Regions from separate parts of the Mus musculus genome. Here all the other regions are reported to be linked to region 1. The links are microRNA targets in miRTarBase. Many come from high-throughput screens and were not tested one by one. Region 1 holds a microRNA gene; each other region holds the end of a gene's coding sequence. Distances are between the middles of the regions.
The links. Region 1 holds the annotated microRNA mmu-miR-148a-3p (UCAGUGCACUACAGAACUUUGU, at 1,900-1,921, opposite strand). A microRNA usually pairs through its seed, bases 2 to 8, with sites in the 3' UTR of a target mRNA and lowers its output. Matches are read on the target gene's strand: a 7mer-m8 pairs with bases 2 to 8, a 7mer-A1 pairs with bases 2 to 7 and ends in A, and an 8mer does both.

Region 2: miRTarBase lists Mrpl51 as a target of mmu-miR-148a-3p. Seed matches in the 3' UTR shown: 7mer-A1 at 1,806-1,812.
Region 3: miRTarBase lists Naip5 as a target of mmu-miR-148a-3p. Seed matches in the 3' UTR shown: 7mer-A1 at 1,228-1,234.

Annotation. Positions count from the first base shown.
Region 1 is chr6:51,267,930-51,275,049 of GRCm38, forward strand. It overlaps Mir148a (microRNA 148a), which reads right to left and starts at 1,981; the gene lies at 1,883-1,981. Gm38821 reads right to left here. Exons shown (of 4, transcript XM_011241556.1): 2 at 3,278-3,481; 3 at 2,351-3,023.
Region 2 is chr6:125,192,289-125,199,395 of GRCm38, forward strand. Mrpl51 (mitochondrial ribosomal protein L51) reads left to right here. Exons shown (of 3, transcript NM_025595.3): 1 at 1-145; 2 at 228-338; 3 at 935-2,104. The coding sequence starts at 67. The coding sequence ends at 1,131. Mir3098 (microRNA 3098) reads left to right here and starts at 3,504; the gene lies at 3,504-3,590. It overlaps Gm52878 (a long non-coding RNA gene), which reads left to right and starts at 4,446. Exons shown (of 2, transcript XR_003956366.1): 1 at 4,446-4,954; 2 at 5,573-7,107.
Region 3 is chr13:100,206,017-100,213,123 of GRCm38, reverse strand. It overlaps Naip5 (NLR family, apoptosis inhibitory protein 5), which reads left to right. Exons shown (of 15, transcript NM_010870.2): 15 at 153-1,385. The coding sequence ends at 517. Among named protein-coding and RNA genes, the nearest start is that of Naip2, 7.4 kb to the right of the region's middle.

The sequences.
Region 1 (7,120 bases):
TTCAGCAAGCTGGGTTAAAATAACACATAGCCTTCCCCAAAGGCTGTTCCCTCTTCCCAGTCATGCTTAACACCCTTCCTGATGATGGTGGCATTGCCAACCGCTAACATGAGAATGGACTCCAGAATGAACCGGATGTCAGCCGATTTTGCTCACAGCTGTACCCTGGCATCTAACACCTGATGCTCAGTTGGTAACAAGGCTCTGGTTGCTCAATATCTAAAGTCAGTGGGAGTATGCCAGCTTCAGAGCACACCCAGCCTGCTGGTTTTCCTCGACCCTACTCCCAGCATGCACACCACTAGGATAAGCCACAAAGCCTTCCTTCCTGGCTGGCCCTTTAACCCGCTCATGGCCAAAGCAAGAGTTTTCACCAAATCATTTTTATAATGAGGTCAAACCAGGTGAACCCAAGTGAGGGATTCCAAACCTGGCTCTTTCTTGAAGGTAGAGTCCTGACCTAATCCTTTGCATGGATGGCTACTCTCCCAGATACTTCACCTTATCTGCTCAAAGGGCCACTGCATTCTCATACAAAGTTGGTTCTGCCTATTGTGAGAATTAGTAGTTTCATAGTATTTTGTGAACACATTCATTCACAAAAATCAGGAAAGAAACCCTCCTCACCAGGAAGCTTACCTTATATCTTAAATGAAAACAAAAAGAACCCGAATTTGGATCACTTTATTCAACTGCAAAAATAAGATTAAGCTACCTTTTGGGCAGAGAGTTGAAGCAATGAAGCTCAACAGTCACTGGTGGGAAGAAAGGAGACTGGGTGTAGCTAACAATCTCAGAAGAGCGCCTGGCTAGGGGTCCAGACAGGTGCCGCCAACTGGCAAGTCCTTCCTCCAATACTTTCCCATTGGCCCTTCCCCATTATCTCTACTCCAATAGGAATGTGCTCAGAAGTAAAGGCGGTGGATTTTCATTTTTTAGATCAAGACTTCCCAGAGTCACACTCCAGGAGACCTCGGGGCTTCTGAAGCATTCTACAAACGTTGCCAGGACTGAGCTGTCCCTAAGCAACAAAGAAGGCTTCATTCCTTTTTGCTCATCACTAGGTGTCACAGCTTGACATACATGTGTCAGGTTAGCGCCTTTGTTAATGACGGTTTTGTAATCCCTTGACTCTATTCGCTCTCCAGCCACACCCATAAACATCAAAATAGGGCAATGACCCGGGAGCAGGATACAGTTCAATGCCAGTCACTGCCCACTGTAGAGCGCACTATTAACTGCAACTGCCAGCCACAACCCACATTCCATTAGGGTCCAGGAGAGCAGTTTCTCTGTACAGTATCTCACAGCTCCAAAGTATAAACACTGACCTCATAAATGACTGTCAAAATGCCTTCTTAGAAAAGGTACTTCCTTTCCATTAACAACCCCCCCCCCAAAAAAAAAAAAAGAAAAGAAAAAAGGAAAATGAGATGGGCCTAAATCAAACTCAGAACTGAAACTAAATCCAAACCCAATCCTTGCAGGTTCATTTATCTAACAGGGCATTTGAGTAAAAGGCACATTACCTGTGGCTTTGGCACAAGTGCATTTCCTTCTCTTAGGGTACAGTTTGAACATACCAACACACTCATCAATAAACTTGTGGTCCTTCTCTCCTTGCTCAATAAGTGAAGCCAGACTATTTTAGTATTTTAAAAATAACCTTGAAAAATATGCAATCAGTCCACCAGGGTAAGAAGAAAAATGGGGGGGGGTAGTTACTTTATGTGATCTAACCCATTGACTTTAAAGGAGTTTTTCAGGTTCTTCACAAAGCCCTTGTGCCCCCTCTGGGCTGCCCTTCCCCCAAAGGAAAGGTGCAACGACGTGGCCAACAGGGCCACCAGCTTGGCGTCCAGGGCCCTTGCGGGGAGGCGGCGACCACAGCCTCTAGAGACAAAGTTCTGTAGTGCACTGACTTCTATCATACTCAGAGTCGGAGTGTCTCAGAACTTTGTCTCAAAAGACCAAACTGGCTGTCTTCCTCTGGAAGTTTCGTCCTGCAGGTGTGCTCCCTGCCATCCCGCCTCGCCCCCAGTGAAGGCAAAGAAGAATAACTCATTAGAAGCAATTTAGTCCAGGATGAGACCAATAGTGGTACGGATAGTTAATTATGGAAAATTACTGCCACAGTCAGCAGGAGTAAAAATCCAGTAGAAAGGGTGTCCTAAGAGACTCTGGTGGCAATGTCACAGCAAACGGACCAGTGGAATCACACAATGCCCCCTCCTTCCTACCTACTCTACACAAGAATCCATTGCCGGTCCAGCCCCCACCTCCTCCGGTCCTGTTACTAAACTTTGGCAAGAAGCTAATTCACTCAATCTAAGTTGCGGTAACTTTTTACCTTTCCATCTGGAAAGTTGGTGAGGGCGGGGAGGACCTCATGAGAACGAATTCCTGGAGCAGGGAGTCAAAGCCGGCGAACACAAGCCAGTTTCCCCGCAGATGGGACGTCCCGGGAAAGCCAGGCTTTTCGCGGCCTCCCCTTCCCCCAGCCATTCTCACCACACTACTCCGGTTATCCAGCTGCCCGCGCACAGTCTGGGAATCCGCGTCCACGCAGCCCTGGCCCCTCGGTGCCACCCACCCACTCTCCCGGTTTCCCTCTGCCTGCTGAGGCAGCGCCTCCGCAGCCGATCTGCATGCAGTCCACGACACAGGCCCGGCGCCCCTAGCCCATCCAGCCCGGACCACCGTGCGGGGTCCCGCACGCCTCCCCACACACTGCGCGCAAGCAGCTGTTGCGCGCGTGCAACAGGTCCGCAGAGCGCAGTCCCCATCCTGCCCGGTTGGTGCGCGTGGCCGACAGAACGCGGGGCCAGAGCTCCGAAGCTGCGGCCGGGGGTTGCATCGGCCTGTCTGGCCTGGCCGCCCTCCCAAAGGCCCCCCGCACGCCGCAGCCCGGCCCTCTGCGCCCCGGGCCGCTGAGCTAGGCTTCCAGTGGGCGCTCCGCTCCGCTCCCTTCCATCTTGACTTTTGCCGACGTGGAAATTTTGGGTTTGGAGACGACCTGCGCTCTTATTGGCTGCCGGCGGGCGGGGTCGGAGGTCACGGCTGCTCTTGCTATTCCGCGCCAAGGGGAGCCGCAAAACGGCTCGTGTCAAGTCAGCAGGTTCCCTCCGCCTCCTCAGGGTCACGTGCGCGCTGGGCGGGGCGGGGAACCGCCTCCTTATGCAAATAAACGACGAAGGGGCCCCAGGAGGAAGGGGGCGGAGCCGGCAGGCAGAGGGGCGGGGTGGGGGCGGAGCCTGAGCCGGGCGGGGTGCGGCACTCCAGGTGGTCACCTGGCTCCTAGTCCGGCTCCACCCGGCCTCTGGGTTCAGCCCTTTGTGGGCAGGCTGGGTAGACGTGGTCTCCATCCTGCCCGTGTGCAAGACGCTGAACACAGCTTTGCCCGCAGCCCCTTCCGCTAGGCCAGGCCAGAGCCCAGTTCGGGTCTGGGTCTCTGCTGGGTTGGGGAAGACGAGGCTGCCACCTAAGCAGAGTGAGAAATGGAAACCTTGAGGAGGACACTTTGGCTCCTCCCCCGGGGCTGAGTGTTACAAGAACTGAGAGAGGAATTCTCGGTAAGAGAATTCTAGAACAAAGCTAAATCAAGAATTCATCAAAGTTAAAAAGCCATCCTTTTGAATTAGCTGCCCATTGCCCACTGTAAGTAAGAAAAGGCCAACAGCTACCTGAAAGTATCAAAAATAGCAATTTCTTTTGTACCGCCTACAGGGACAAACCCAAAGGTCGGTCTGTCTGTCCTGACCCCTGCTGGACATTAGGCACGGGGGTGGAGGGCGTGGGGGGGGGGTGGAGCGTGGAACCTGGAGTCAAGGTCTCCTGCATCCGAAGGAGGTATAACTCAAGGTGCTCAGAATTGTCCATATCCACGATCTGTCAGTGGTTCCCCAAGCACGCATGGAGGAGGGCATGAAGGAAGGCGTGCTTTGTAGAAGAAAGGGATTGATGAGAGGCCACATGACTAGATGGCTTCCTTCCCTCCACCCTCCCCAAAGAGAAGACAGCAATGTCAATGTACAGGTAGAGCCCAGGTTATGGTGAAAACCACAGCCTCTGGCCACCGAGCTGCATCTTTTAAAACACAGATATTTCTCAGAACAGGCCTGGTTTTTCTTTGTGATAAAACGTCTGTATCATTTCTTTTTTCCATCTTAAGTGTGGCTGGATGATACGGAAAATGAAAGGTACATTTTCATGGGAAGATTCTTACCTGGAAACTTCTTCCCCTCCTGTCTTCTTAATTTACTCGTCCCTTCTCCCCCATCCCCCTATGGAAAGATAAATCCTTGCTCCTTCCAACTGTTTATCCTTAGGGATCTTTCCACTTGCACACTTGCGTGTTTATCTGACCCTTCCGGGTGTGGGGGTGGGGGGCTCCACCAGGCATTGTCTCCTAGAGCCTCCCACCCCCCTGCTCTGCCAAGGTCTGTCAGCGGTGCTCTCTGGGCCTCAGAGTTGGTCCGGGCTCTGCCGCAGGTTCTGTTGTGTGAGCTGGAATATTGATTTTTCTTTTTTTTTCAGTGTGTGTGCGCGCCGCTCTGTTAAAAAAAAAATCAATATTTCAGTAGCTCAAGCACAGCGCAGGGCAGTGTAATGGAGCCAGCCAGCTGATGTAACGCGCCGGGTCCACCCTCAGCGATTGAGGTCAGTCAGAGAATGGCAATGCGTTTTCCTATTTCATTGTTTGCTTCGTGGACAGGGAGGGGGTTGGCCTACGCGTTTGTGGACATCAGAGGCCAAGCTCATGAGGTGTACCAGAACCAAGTTAGGAAAAACAAAAGGTGACAATCGCAGATGCCCTGTTATCCATTCATGTGAGAACTCTTATGTAAAACACTAGGCGATCTGGAATTATTCTCAGCCATAGGTTTGCCGCATTTCACACTGAGCAAAAGAAAATAGGCTTGCTTGGACAAGCATAGAGTTTATCTTTTAGTATTGGCTATCTGGCCTCGTATTATCCTTCTGTCCCCCAATATGCCTCTGTTTAAAAAGACAGCAGATTTCTCGCGTAATTTCAAAGGGGAGAACAGATGAATAAGCATCTGCCTAGGGGCTACCTTGGTGACCCCTGCAGCTGATGGAGGTAGGCTCTGAACCTGAGTGGGGCATGTGGGTCCTCCAGGCATTCCCACTAGATGAGCCCAGGTAAATCTGTTCACTCTCACCAGCCTCTCGGCTTCTACCTGTAACTTGAAGGTAAAAGGTCGCTTGAGGTGATTTCTGAATCCCCTCTCTAACTACGATTCTACAGAAGAAAGGGATAATATAGCTAAAGACAAGAGCATAATTATGTTGAGTGTGGATCTTAGATATGAAAATGGATTAATACCAAGAGCGTTGTAGAAGCAGAAGCAACTCATTCCAATTCTAGTTGTCTTTGTTTTAAATTACGTTTCATTGCAATCTTTTTGGAGGATGCTTTGGCTATTTTTCACAGTACACTCTTTTTTTATCCAGCTTCTCTCATTCTATGAGTGTCTCTTTAAAAAAAAAAAAACACTATTACTTAAAAAGAAGTCCATCGCTTGCGTTTTGTACCATTGAAACAAACACTGGAAACAACCTAGCAACGTGAAACCTATCACATAAAATACACTAGTGGCTTTGTATTCATTGGGGCGCAGATGTGTCATAGTGGTGCTGACTAAGGAGAGGTTTGCACTTGTGGATATGCATGTCATGGGAACCTCCATCTATGCAGGAGTGTGTCCCAGTGACCCAGGAAATGGGCTCTGGGAAATCTCATCTTCATCACCAGCTAGGTCTACATTGGCTCTAAACTAAGTAAGTTGGTCTTCTGTGGCCTATTGAAAGCACACAAATGTATAGGCTTGAAGTAGCACTACTTTGTATCTTACAAGAACTGGTACTAGAGGACCAAAGTGGGTTTTGCTGTGTAAGAAAAGGGTCAGGACTCACTCCCTCCAAGGACAACCCACCTATTTATCTTTCCAGAATGCCTCTTGGATCCATTGCAAGGCTGGGTGGTACAGAGTTCTGATCTCTGTTTTTATCGTTTCTTCTCCCACTCTGACCCTCCTGAGTCTTTAAAGGAAGGAACTTTGTGCTTATGCTGGGATCGGGTCACCTGGATAATTAAGAGTCATCCCCCGTAACTCAAGATTCTCTTGACATCACCATGTTAGCCACCATCGGGGCTCGCAGCCATTATTGAGCTAACATGGAGATATCTGCAGTACATGGAGATATCTGCAGTACTCACTCTATTTCCTTCTAAGAACTCCTGGAGTGAATCCCAATCAGTTAGAGGCTGCTCACATTTCCTCAGTGTGTGGCCGGCAATGGAGACAACTCTTCCCCATGTCTCAGCCCTCTGACACCGACTCCTCTACTCCAGTTCCTTTACCCTGGAGATCATGTTGAACCCAGATAGGGACATTGTGGATAATCTCCACATTTTAAGGTCAACCAAATATCAAACTTACATCTATTTGCAACCTTATATTTTCTATTTTAAGGTCAACCTTAAACTTATATTTATTTGCAACCTTATATTTCCTATGTCATATAACAAGTAACATGACATAATCACGCTCCCCTGGGATAAGGATGCAAACACCTGTGGCTGTGGTACCACTGCCCTTAGACCCAGCAGGAGGGTTTCTGTGAGTGTGAGGCCAGCCAGGGCTATAAAATGAGACCCTATCAAAATGAAAGAGAGAGAGAGAGAGAGAGAGAGAGAGAGAGAGAGAGAGAGAGAGAGAGAGAGAGAGAGAAAGGAAGGAAGGAAGAGAAAAGAGGAGAAGAAGGAGGAGGAGGAGGAGGAAAAGGAAAAGGAAAAGGAAAAGAAATGAATAAAGGATGCAAATATCTTTGGATCGCCTGCTACATTCAAGGTAATGGTAATAATCCCTATTAGAGTGTTGTGAGATAAAATATGTAAATGTTTAGCATCGTGCTAAACATAATCTGTATAGTAAGCACTACACAGTAGTTGTCACAGAGCAAGCGCTCTAAGGTGACTGTCCAGTATCACCTGGAAAGGAAACTCTGGCTGCGCCCTGTAGCATCTGGTAGATGGAGTAATTAAAATGGGTTTAAATTTTCCTCATTTTAAAAATGTTTTTCTTTTCCTCTTTTT
Region 2 (7,107 bases), 74 Mb from region 1:
ATTCACACCCGCTCCCCATTTTTCCGGCTGGTTTGCTGCCCCTACTGAGGCGGACAGGCTAGAGTAATGGCAGGGAGTGTCCCTTGGGCGGCAAGTAGGAGACTGTGGGGCTGGGTGCCCTCGGCATGCCGAAGCTTCTCTCTGGGTAAGTGGCTTAAGTGTAGTAGGACGGCCGGCTAACGGCTTGTCACTGGGCAGTGCTGATTCATGCTTCTGTCCTTCCCTAGGCGTCCCACGGTTGGCCTTCGTAAGGCTCACTCTTCCACCTCCCAAAGTGGTTGATCGCTGGAACGAGAAGAGGGCTCTGTTTGGCGTCTACGACAACATTGGAATCCTGGGTAGGACGCGATTCCTGGTTTCTGAAGGATTAGTATGCTCTCTTGACTCTTTCGGTTTTATTTGTGGAGAGAATAGTAATGTGCCCGGGGCAAGCCTGGGGGCACAAACCTGTTACACGGGAGATGAAGCCAGGCAAGACCAGTCTGAGATGCGGAGAATAGTGAGGAGTGCGGGACTCAGTCTCACTAACACAGTAGTGGGCAGGTCTGAGGGCCAAAGCGAGTAAATGGGAGTGTCAGTATTTGAACCCAGACATTTCTGGCTGCAAAGTCTTTACTCCTTTCTTTCTTTCTTCTTTTTTAAATAAGATTTTTGTGTTTTCTGAATGTGTACCGTGTACTGCTCAAGCAATGCCTGCAGGTTCAGGGTGACTTCCTAGAACTTCCCTTTCAGGCAGTCGTGAACCTTCAGTTGAGAGTGCTGGGGAATCCTTTGGAAGAGCAAGTGTTACAAAGACTCTGTCCCTTGTACTAGACTGGTGTGTGCCTTGTCTGTCAGTAGTTCTGATCAGGGAGATGAAACTGTGTTGAAGGCCTAGTTGGGCTAGGCTGACTTCTCTTCTCTTGAAACTAGTATATATTCTGTCACGTTACAGGGAATTTCGAGAAGCACCCAAAAGAACTGATCAAGGGCCCAGTATGGCTTCGAGGCTGGAGAGGAAATGAATTGCAGCGTTGTGTCCGAAAGAAGAAATTTGTGGGAAACAGGATGTTCATTGAGGACCTGCATAACCTTAACAAACGGATCAGCTATCTCTACAAACACTTTAACCGACATGGGAAGTACAGATAGGACGGGAAATGTGTCACCCTGGAGAAGGGGAACAGGACTTATCCCAGCAAGGAGAGAGCTTTGTGTGCTCGATGTAATAAAAAAATGGGGCTCCTTTGGAATCTGATATGCCCAGTGCTACATTTACTCATGCACTCTGACGTCTGCCTCGTTCCTAAGTCACATGATCTTTTGTTACTATTACTTACAGCCCAGTTATGCTTGTGGCCTTTATAACAATCATTTATTGCTGGCACTTTCTGACACTGGCACCTCGTGTAAGTTTTTAAAGAATTTATTTTTATTTATTTTATCTTATTTTTTTGTAATCTTGGAGCTGAAACCCAGGGACTTGCTCATTCTAGGGAACTCTGCCACTAGCCGCCCAGGCCCTTGGAAGTGTAGCTGCTATTTCTAAAGACTCTGCCACCCCAAAATGAACTAGGAAAGTGAAATTACACTTTGTACTGCTCTTATCAGTTATAAGTTAGGGAACTTGTCTGAGTACCACAGCATTTCCCATCCTCTTGAATAGGGCAGTTTTGTGGAGGCTGACCTTGAGTCATGCCCAGTTTTATGAAGTGTTAAAGATCACACCCAGTATTACCCCTGTGTGTGCTACCCTGTTTGCTTTTTTTTTTTTTTTAGGGGAAAAAAATGTCATTTAAGAAAGATATTTTAGGGCTGGTGAGATGGCACTGACTGCTCTTCTGAAGGTCCTGAGTTCAAATCCCAGCAGCCACATGGTGGCTCACAACCACCCATAATGAGATCTGACGCCCTCTTCTGGTGCATCTGAAGTCAGTCACAGTGTACTTATTTTTAATAATAAAAAAGTCTTTGATCATTGGACCAGAGCAAGTGGAGTTGACCAGAGAGAGCAAGGTCAACTGAGGCAGCAGAGGTCCTAAATTCAATTCCCAACAACCACATGAAGCCTCACAACCATCTGTACAGCTACAGTGTACTCACATACATTAAATAAATCTTTTTTTAAAAAGAAAGATATTTTAATACAGGTTTGAGCATCAGGGCTATGAGAGAGGTGTTCAGAGGTAAAACACTTGAGAGCATGAGTGTGGGCTTCCCTGAGAGACTCTTCTATATGGCATAGTGCTGGCGTCTTGGATATACCAAGTACTTTATAGTGAGCTATAGACCCTCTGCTGCACTTTGCTTTTGTTAGTATATATTACAAAAATAATAGGTTTTGCTATGACATTCTTCATTTACTTCTTTTGGTTTTTTGAGATAGGGTTTTCTCTATGTAGCCTTGGCTATCCTGGAACTCAGTATGTAGACCAGGCTAGCCTTGAACTCATGGAGATAATACCTTAGTGTTGGATCTAAGGCTTAAGCCACCACATTTTCCACAGGTTTTTGAATTTATGTTTCAATTGAAATCAATTCAGTGAGAAGTCTGGAGATGACAGAAAGGTAATCCAGGGAATTTTTCTTGCATTTTTTTTTTTTTTTTAAACAGTCTTGGGGCTGGAGAGATGATTCCAGCCATCTCCCAGGGATGCTCTTGCAGGTTGCCCAGGTTAATTCCCAGCTCACACATGGTGACTCAAGGCTGACTATACTTCCAGTTTCTGGGCTTCCCATGGAGACAGGCATGCACATGTGCACAGGCATAGCTGCATGTATTATTGCATGTAAAACATGAAATAATAATAATAAGCCGGGCGGTGGTGGTGCACACCTTTAATCCCAGCACTCAGGAGGCAGAAGCAGGTGGATTTCTGAGTTCGGCTATACAGAGAAATCCTGTCTCGAAAAAACAAAACAAACATAAAAACAAAAACAAACAAACAAACACCAAAAACCTATAGTCTCTCAAAGTCAGGCTCAGGCTGGCCTGGAACTCTTATAGCTCAAACTGGGACCCATCCTCCTGCCTCTACCTCCAGAGTGACAAGATTATATGTGTGAGTCCTTGTATCCAGCTTCAAACTACTGTTTAATCCTCATATTTAGTGGCCATGTCCAAGGCTATATAATACCTACTTCTTTTTATAAAAAAGTATTGCCGGGCGGTGGTGACGCACGCCTTTAAAACCAGCACTTGGGAGACAGAGGCAGGAGGATTTCTGAGTTTGAGGCCAGCCTGGTCTACAGAGTGAGTTCCAGGACAGCCAGAGCTACACAGAGAAACCCTGTCTTGAAAAAAACAAAACAAAACAAAAAAGTATTACAGAGACACACAGGCAAACAAAGCAGAGCTTGGGGATTCTCTTGGAAGAGTGGGGGGAGGGACTGTAGGAGCCAGAGGGGTCAAGGACATCACAAGAAAACCCACAGAATCAACTAACCTGAGCCCTTAGGAGCTCACAGAAACTGAACTGCCCACCAGGGAGCTTGCATGGGACTGAGCTAGGCCCTCCACACATTGTGGTTGGGAGGAGTCCTAACAGCAGGAGTAGGAGCTCTGATTATCCCCTGCTTCTGCTGCCTGCCTTTAGGACCCTTTCCCCACAACCGGCTGCCTTGCCCAGCCCTAATAGAAGAGGTGCCTTGTCTTACTGTACTTGATATGCCATGGCTGGTTGATAGCCACTGAGGCCTGACCTGGGGAGAACAGGGGAGTGGGGATCTGGGTGTGGGGAGGAAAAGTGGCAGGGAGAGACTATGGAGGGAGGGAAGCTGTGGTTGAGAGGGAAGCTGTGGTTGGGATGTAGAATAAAATTTAAAAATGTTAAAAGTATTGCAAATCCAAGAAAATGAATTGCTTGTAGACTCAAGTGAGCTCTGAAGGTAGAAAAATTAGGGTGGTTATCCTATTTGATTTAAATCTAAGTTCTGTGTCAATGATCTTTTATGACGTAACAGTCCATTCTTAAACTCAATGACTAAAACAACTTCAAATCATTTTCTCTGGGTTTTCTTCTTCAGATGGTTAATCTAGTTTGCTGTCACGAGGCCATATTCAGCAGTGGGCTAACACGCCTGAGACATCTTCACTCACATCTACTTAGTCAATTGGTAGTTTGGGTTGTTTTTGTTTTTTTGAGAACCAAATCAGGGCCACTGCAAGAACAGCAAGTGCTTGTAACCTCTGAGCCATCTCTCCACAGCCCCAGCTAAGTTCTTTTGGCACAAGGTCTTATTATTCAGCCTCTCTTGGGCTTGGTTGCTTAGAGACTTGATCCCAAAGGACAAAATTTAAATAACAAGGGTTGATAAAACGAGGCTAAGAAGTCTTGAGGTCTTCAGGCATGGAGGCAAAAACCTTTGAACCCAGGACTGATCCCTGGAGACAGAGGCAGGCCTGGTCTACATATCAAGTTCCAGGCTTGGCTACACAGTGAAATCCCATCTTTAAAAAAAAAAAAAAGAAAAGAAAAAACAAAAAAGCCATGAAGCGCGGTGGTCACCCCTTTAATCCCAGCACTTGGGTAGCAGAGGCAGGTGTTTCTCTATAAGCTCAAGGTCAGCTTAGTCTACAGAACAAGTTTCAGCACAGCCAAGGCTACACACACACACACACACACACACACACACACACACACACACACACACACAAACCCTGTCTTGAGAAACCAAAGAGGAGGGGGAAAGGTAGAAAAGGAAGAGGAAAATGTTTTAATACAATCTCACAAGTGTTAGTGAAGAAGGAACTAACAAGTCAGCCCCAGAAGCCCGTATAAAATTCTTCCTGCTGTCAGTTACAAAAAGTCTTATTTTTCAAGCACAGAGCTGGATTGTTTTTGTAATGAAAAAGAATGCAACATTTCCCTTCAACAAACACTGAATCATTGTGTGGAAGGACCTTGGAGGCATATACACCACAAACCAAGGCTACACCACTGCCTGTAAAAAGATTTCATCCGTCAGGTACAGGGTGCGTATGTAAACAAGATGCATATCTGAATTCGGTAATTGCGTGGGAAAAATATTGTTGCAGCATGAGTTTTTGTTTTTAGGTTTATCCATTTACTGTGTACACAGTGTTCTGCCTACACGTAGGCCTGCACACCAGAAGAGAGCACCAGATCTCATTATAGATGATTATGAGTCACCATGTGGCTCCTGGTAATTGAATTTAGGATCTCTGGTAGAGCAGCTCTTAACCACTGAGCCAGCTTTCCAGTCCCACATGAGGTTTTTGTTTTTGTTTTGTTTGTTTGTTTTTAAAAGGGGGTGAGAAAATTGTGTGTGCACATGCATGCACGTGTGTGTGTGTGTGTGTGTGTGTGTGTGTGTGTGTGTGTGTGTGTGTGTGTGTGTGACTGTGGATTGAAGTGCTTGAAGTAGGTCTTGGAAAGGGTCAGTGCTAGGAATTCAATGGGAAATGACTATATAGACACAGGCAGGAAGGAGTCCCTAACCAACCCCAGGGGAGCAGGTAGAGGGCAGGGAAGGCTTCCTGTAGGTGATCAGATCACCACTAATTTATCCTAAAGGAATGTTAAAAGTGGGGAGGGGGTGCAGAGGGAGGTAACAATTTTTTTTTTTTCAGGCAAATGATGCAGAGCAAAATGGCACAGATGTGAGAAATAGCATGGAGCCAGCACACAGCAAGGCTACAAGTAGTATTTGTTAGTGGAACTACTTTGTGTGCCTAAAGATAAGCTGAGAAGTTAAGAGTCAGAGCACGAGGAAACCTACATTTAGTAAAATGATCTAGCCACTTTGGGAAATCCACAGCTGCCCAAAAAGCTAAACACAGAGTTACGTATGGATCGGTAATGTCACTCAGAGGTGTCACCCAAGAGAATGGAAGCGTGTCTGTTCCACAAGAGCAGAAAGGGCCATGCTAGTGCAGGCCATTATGGTGGCCACAAGAGGAACCCAACCAAACCAATGCCTACCTGCTAGCAGAGCCCCGTGGGCCAGGTGCCTAGGAGGTAGAGCAGGAGGATCAGGAGTTCCAGGCCTTCTTCAGATACATAGTGAGTCTGAAGGACGCCTGAGTTTGGTCCCTGGAACTAATTAATCCCTCATGGAAGAAGGAGAGAACCAACTCTTGCAAACTGATCTCATTTCCATATGTGCATGCCTGCCCCCCAAATAAATTAATGTTTTAAAAGGACAAATGTCCAGCAATTGATTTAAAAAAAAAAGTAACCAAGATTTTGAACAGTTGTACAGTGAATTATTATTCAATTACTAAAGGAATGAAGTACCCATACATGCCACATTCAGATGAATATTTAAAACATGTTAGATGGGCAGGCAGTGGTGGTGCATGCCTTTAATCCCAGCACTTGGGAGGCAGAGGCAGGTGGATCTCTGAATTCAAGGCCAGCCTGGTCTACAGAGTGAGTTCCAGGACAGCCAGGAACACACAGCTACACAGAGCCTGTCTTGAAAACAAAAAGCAAAAAACAAAAACAAACAAACACCATGTTAGATCAAAGAATCAGTCATAAAGTGCCAAATCCTATATGATTCTGTCTCACTGAAATGTGGGGAATAGACATGTCTACAGAAGCAGACCTGGTTTAGTTGCTGCTCCTTGGGTGGAATAAGGGCTGGGGAGTGGCTTTAGCCCATACCGGGTTCTCTGGGGATTGTGTGGAGACACGATGGACGTGGTAAATGCTAGTCAGAGAGCACAGGGTTTCCGAACAGCCGGAAATCAGTTAATAGAAACAGATTATAACACTGGTGTAGCAGAAATTTATCTGGCATGAATTCCCGAGTGATAACATATAGGCTTTTGTAAATAAATAGTCAGTGCTTGTTATCTGAGGTGTTCTGAGTGGTCCTTCCAGAGGATGCACAGAGCCTTTGCATAACTTAGTCCTGAGACATACTTGGCAAACTAGGAAGCCTTGTTTGGCTGAGAATTGCTTAGGTAATGGTTCCTTCAGACAGCTCCTAGGTCAGAGGGGGTTTTGATATTCAGAAATTGGCTTGGTAATAGTTCCTTTTGTGTAGGAATAAAGAGGCTTCTGCAGTGATTAGGAATTCAGCCCATCAGAGGCTGAAGAAGCCATAATAAATCCTGTAGTTGATCCTCATAGCCACATTACTCAAAACACTGACATT
Region 3 (7,107 bases), not on the chromosome of region 1:
CAGGCTGCTGTTTGATGCTTTCAAGGTTTGATCTCTAAAACATCATGTAGAGAATTCCAACCTTCATTGTAGGGGTTTGGGAGTAGTTCCAATAACTTGTGAGCATTATTGAAGTCCTCTTGATTGTGTTTTCATACGTGTTTTGTTTTCAGCCAGGGCGGCAACCAGTGGAGGTTTCCAGAAACTTGAGAACTTAGATATTTCCATGAATCACAAGATTACCGAGGAAGGATATAGAAATTTCTTTCAAGCCCTGGACAACTTGCCAAACCTACAAGAGCTGAACATCTGCAGGAATATCCCAGGACGCATTCAAGTTCAGGCCACCACTGTCAAGGCTCTGGGTCAATGTGTGTCCCGACTGCCCAGCCTCATCAGACTGCACATGCTCAGTTGGCTCCTGGATGAAGAGGACATGAAAGTGATTAATGATGTGAAGGAAAGACATCCCCAGTCTAAACGCTTGATTATCTTCTGGAAATTGATAGTCCCATTCTCTCCTGTTATCCTGGAGTAAAGGATGCTCCTGAAGACTACTGACAGTTCAGAATATCTAAAACTCCTAAAATTCTAGCTGAGGTCAGAAAAGTATGTTGGGCCCTCCTGGGTCTGGAGTTATAGATAGTTAAGAGTCTCCATTTGGGTGCTGGTCACCAAACCTTTATCCTCAGTAAAAGCTACAGGTGCTCTTAAACCCTGATCCATCTATCCGAAGGCTGATAATTTTTTTTGAAAATCTACATGCTCATCACTGAGCTACAATGAACAGTGCCTTTTTAGTCCTTGTATATTTCTCCTGTCTAAAGACTAGAGTTTCCTTCAAGTTCATACAAGGAACCTTCCAATACCAAGGTCAACAGGAAAGGGCTGGTGAAAGGAACATTGATCTATGTAAAGCCAAGACATCATAGGAGCACTGGGTGGAGGATATACATGGTCTGTTTATAGATTGAATCAGCCTTGTACATGAGGAAGCATGTGTTGACTTTATCATGGCTGCAGCTGACTCTCTCTCCAGGAGATGCTCTTTAGTCTTTGCAGCACTTTTGCGTATTCATTAGCCTTGATGTGGTTGTGCATCTATTGCCAATGGGTGGGGGGATATTGGGCTTAGAGAAAACTGCTTTTGTTTATGAGAGTTTTTGATAATTTTGCATGTACTGTAATGGCCTTGTGATTTTCTTAGAAACTCATGGTCAGGCTGGAGAGATGGCTCAGTGGTTAAGAGCACTGACTGCTCTTCTGAAGGTCCTGAGTTCAAATCCCAGCAACCACACGGTGGCTCACAACCATCTGTAATGAGATCTGATGCCCTGTTCTGGGGTGTCTAAAGATGGCTACAGTGTACTTACATAGAATAAAGAAATAAAATCTTAAAAAAGAAAGAAATTCATGGTCTTTGGTATATATGGTTCTAACTATTAAGGACTTCTTGTTTGAATAGGAATGGCCACCATAGTCTCAAATGTGTGGATGGTTGGTCATTTGGGAGTGATGTTCTTAGGAGGTATGGCCTTGTTGGAGTAGCTATTAACTTGTTGGAGATCTTGTGTCCCTGGTAGTAGGCTTTGAATTTCAAGTGCTCAGGCCAGGCCCAGTCTCTCTCTCTCTCTCTCTCTCTCTCTCTCTCTCTCTCTCTCTCTCTCTCTCTCCTCCCTCCCTCCCTCCCTCCCTCCCTCCCTCCCTCCATGCTGCCTTCCTTCCAATCCAGATGTAGAACTCTCAGCTACCTGCCAAGTACCATGACTACCTGCATGCAGGCATATTCTCTACCACAGTAATAATGAACTAAACTTCTGAAGCTGTAAGCCAGCCCTGGTTAAATGTGCTCTTGTATAAGAGTCATCATGGTCACAGTGTCTCTTCACAGCAATAAAATACTGACTGACACAATTAATTTACTTAATTATGATAGTAATTTATTACATAATACTATATATTGAAACATCACTTTGCACCTGCCTGGCATACCTCAAATATGCATGCTTTTTTATTATTTGCTAATTATGCCTCCATTAATCTGAGTGAAAATAGTTCTGAAAATAAGTTTTTAACTTAAAAAAAAAAGAAGAAAGCATTGGTTGTGTGTAGGAAGTTATATGGGAGGCATTCTTACTTTTCATTCCTTCTGGACTATTTTTGTTTTGTCTGTATAGTTCCTGAGCCATGAGTCACAAAAGCCATCAAAGAGGTGGCAGGTCCTTCCTTCCCGCACCAGCCTATGACCCTCTCAGTAAAATGTTCCATAGGGGCTGTCCAAAATGGCAGCTCCTGTCGAAATGGTGTCAACCATAAGATCTCAGCGTGCACCACAGCATCTCAAGCCTACAGATGCCATGGAGCTGTCCATGGTGACACATCTTTCCCTCCTCGGCAGGAGCTACTCTTTGGGAGCTGTCCGCGGTAGCGACATCTTCTTTCCTGCCTTAGCCTACAACCTTGGTGAAGCACCACTGCAGGAACTGTGTACAGTGGCAGACCCTCCTCTCCAGTCTCCTCAGAAATCCTATATAAGCACTGCCCCTTTGTCCATTCCCTGTCTGTCCACTCCCGGGAGCAGAGAGCAGCCATCCCTAGTTTTGTCCCTCACACTCCTGTATTATTACTGTCAATAAATATCTTTTATAAGATGCACTGCCTGGAGCAACTTTCTCGTTGGAAGAAGCTGAGAAGAGAACAAGCAAAGAAGAGAAAAAGTAGAGAAGAAGTGAAGAAGGAGCAGAGATCAGACTCTTGAGCTCCTCAGCTCAGTAGGAGATACCCTCCCTTGGGAGCGCTAATGCCTCTGCTGAGAAGGCTTCCTCGGAGCTCTGTAGTTCCGAGTTCTGATGTCTCAGGATACCCTTCCCATGGGTCACTGTCCCACACTGTCGTCCTTCAGGAGCCATGTGGTTCCTAGGCTTCTAAACCCCAGGATAACCTTCCATCCGAGCAGAAACACCTAAAGTTGGTGTTATTGCTATTCTTGATATCAAAATTCTAGCTTGTGGTGTAGCTTAAAGATAATGTGCCTGCTTAGTATTTTCAAGGTCCTCAGTGACATCTCTAGCACTGGGGGAAAAAAGTTTAACACTAAAGCATTAACTTAAGCTATCTCTATTGAGAAGGATTGATTATCTTTTTGATGATTTGATGTGTTAATATTTTTCAGAGTCCACTGAAAAGACAGAAACCATGAAGATATTTACCACAGGGAAATTTGGGGAAAGTAGAATGCAGTCATTAGCTCTAACAAAGGAACTTGCCAGCCTGGGTAATCAGGATACTCTTCCCATGGGATACTGTCCGACCTCAGAGCTGTGTGGTTCCTAGGTTCTCAAGTCCAAGATTACCCTTCTATCATACACCCTTACCAAGTAAGTACCCACTAAGTTCAAGGCTAGCCTGGGCAGTCTAAAGAGATTGCCTCAAAATAAAATTGAGGAAGACTTGGGGAGGCTGCTTAGTGGTCTAGTGTGTGGAAGGTCCTAGGTTTGGTCCCTAGCACTGAAAAAGAAAAAAGGGAAACATTTTAATGAGGTTCAGTGGTCTTGGTCCATTTCCTGTCATATCAGATGGAAAGAATAGATTTGTAGAGCCCAGTCCCAATGAATACATCTACCCAACAACTCCTGGACCTAAGTTTCAGGAGACAGTGCAGAAAAGGCTGGGGAGAGACTGTAAGAGCCAGAAGATGAGGAAGTTTGCTCTGAGACTGTGTTTTCTGGTAATTTCTATACTCATAAAGTCTAAACAACATGGCTGCCCTAGTCTGAGCTTAATGAAAATGACAGCAGTGACTATGCCAAACTGAACGGGGAAAGCCCAGGAGGCTCCAACCCTAGGAAAAGAACTACAGGCAACTAGGGGTTACTGAGATTGGGGGAAACAGTTTTCCCCACCGAAGAGCACACAGGTTGGTCATCCAATACCAAATGGTCAGCCCTGAAAATGTTGACCAGTATTGTGTCCCACTCGACCAGCAAGAAAGACGCAACAAACCAGAATCTTCCGCGGCAAAAGCTTTTTTGCTTACTTCTTCAGGAAGACCCCTAACCGGGAAAATGGCGCCGCTTTTATAGCCCGCAGCGTGAAGTTTCAGCACCTGCTATGGCGTGACAGCTCCTGATTCGTTGTTCGCCCATCACCCCACTATTACACTCCGAGAATGGGAGTGACTAGGAGTGAGTTCACTCTCGCACCTGCGTACAAGGCTTGTTTACTAGTTAGGCACAGCGGAGGCCAGCGCCATCTTATAATGGCGATTGCTCACGGCACGGCTCTCCACAGACCAGAGAACACATATAGACCCTCTTAAAACTGAGAAGAAAGTCTTTATCACCAGCCAGTGGCTGCATGGGGACCTTGCCCAGATCATGCAGCCCCAGTCCTCACTGCCCTTTGTCTTTTAAACACAAGCCCCACATCCTGGATGACAGGTTAGTTAGCAGGAACAGTTAACAGTAGCAGAACTATAGAAGCCAAGTTAGCACATTTAGAGATTCTTGGATCCAGGAACTATGGGCCAGGTCTTGATTGATTGATTGGGGTTTTTTTTTCCTCTTTTGGCAGATGTTTGGGTTATAAGGTGTGAATGGTGCCTCCAACATGTCATTTGTTAGGCTAGGGTCCAGGACGCATTACAAAAACATATGGATAAGTAACATTTTACAGAAGTAGAAGATTGCATTTAGAAATATACGTATATAAATATATGTATACTGTATGTATAATGTATATAAACATACATATATGTGTACAACATATGTATAATATATGTAATGTATGTGTGCTTAATGTATATGTGTATGGTGTATATAATGTATGTAACAATATATGTATAATGTATGTAAATATACATATATGTAAGTAACAACAATGCAAAAAGAAGCCATGAATTTGAGAGAAAACAAGGAAAGATGGAAATTTTTATATGCGAAGTTTTAGAGGGAGGAAAGAGCAGGGAGAAATGCTGTAATTATATCATAATCTCAAAAATGAAGGGAAAAAAATTAAACAAAGAACTAGTTAAATTCTAGACTCCCCTTTCTGAGCACATCCTAAGTATACCGGTCTACTCCTGCTTCCTAAATCCGTTCACCATGCCCACATAAGCAAAATCACCTCTAATTTCAACTGCCTTTCTGAAAGTCTCTGCACATCCTTAGAAGATTTAACTCACTTCCAAGCTCTTTTTTTAAATTTATTTTTTATTTTTTGTAAACTGTGGTGGTTTGAGTGAGAATGGCCCTCATAGACTTATATTTGAATGCTTATGAAGTGGCATTAGGAGGTGTGGCCATGTCGGAGGAAATGTGTCCCTGGGTATGGGCTTTGAGGTTTCAGAAGCTAGGTTCAACATCTCACTCTCTTCCTGCAGCTTACAGATCCAGATGTAGAACTCTCAGCTACGTCTCCAGCACCATGTCTGCCTGCGTGCCTTTATGCTTACCGCCATGACAATAATGGACTAAACTGTAACCTCGAGGTTGTCCACCTGCTCCCCAGTTCCTGAATTAACCACTCTGAAACTTAAGTACATATGAATAAATGCTTGTTCCCCTACTAGCCCATAACTGAATTAACCCATTTATTCTATTCTATAAATGCTGCACGGCTGGTTACCTCTCCTGTTTCATGTGTCTGTGTCCTTAGAGTTTGGGGAGAATCTCCCTTGACTGACCCTATCCCAGAGATCCTCTTTCTTTACCAGGACTCCACCTCCTTTTACCTGCCTTAGCTAATAGGCCTTCTGCTCTTTATTAACAGTTGATACTTCCATACTGTACATAATATATTATCTTTACATTTTCTCCTTTTAGTCCAATAAAAGACTCTTTATCTTACAATAATAAGCTATAAACAATAATAACAATTGTGAGAACCACCAGGTAAGATTACATTCATAATCTCCAGTTCATATGGGTTTGGCAACCTTGGAGGAAGTATTCTGCTACCTATCCTATCTTGGCAAATTCAGAATTCTGTCCCTAAATAAATTTCTATCATAAGAAATTGGTTGCATTACCAACCTAAGAACATCTTGGACCTTAGACCTTAATCCTGCACAACTTAAGCTTAAGTGTAAGACTGTCACTATTTCATTCTCAGCCTCACCACAGACCTGAGAAGGAAGAAATATTGCCTGAATATGCAGGAAGTGCAGGCAAGCACCTTTAAAACTATAAAAATGACATATAAAATGTCCAGAAAGCTGGGTGTCTAGACAGTCACCCACAAAGTTCTCTGAGTCATTGGAATATCTTCTTGGGCCTTCTGGCCCAGAATACCTGACAGACTTTTCTGTGAAGCAGGAATTATGAAGGACTTGCCTGCCTTGTCCTTGCAAAACTCAGCAGCCAACTTCTCTGCTCGTCGCTGGCCTCCAGGAAGCACCCGCTCCTCGGGTATCAACCACTCCAGCTTTCCTCAGAGAGCGCCAGCTGAATCCTCCGTTGTTTCTCCTCTCTAACTCCTGGGGAGATCTGAGGTCTCCTGGCTTTGTCTCTGTGTATGCACACTTCATGGACCACCTCATCCAGCTGACTGGCTTTAAATTCTCAGTCTCTACCTCACCATTTCCAACTCTAACTAAGACATAGGCCCTGAACTACTCAATTCATATCCAATTCTTCCTAATGGAAATTTCCATTTTAAAATCTTGATTGTTATTTTTTTTCCACATAAGTATTTTTGTGCTGAAGATGTTGGTCAGTGGTTATGGTGTTTTGAATAACAGTGTTTCCCCCTAAGCTCATGTGTTTAATTATTTGGTCTCCAGTTGGTCATGCTCCTCGTGGAAGCTTAGGAGGTGTGATCTAGGAAGGGCTTTGAGAGTGTAAGACCTATCCCTGTTCACAATTTGCTCTCTGTGCTTCAACTCTGGTTCAAGATGTGTATCTTCAGCTTCACACTCCTGCCATGCCTGCTGCATGTCTCCCCACCATGATGGACTCTTAGCCTTCTGGGACATATGCCCAAATAACCCCCTTTCTTCCATAAAGAAAGGCTCTGGTGATTTGAGTGGAAAATATCTCCCATGGGCTCATGTGTTTGCATGTTTGGTCTACAGTTGGTGGATTCGAAGATGTAGCCTTTTTGGAGGGGGTGTATGGCTTGGGTGGGTCT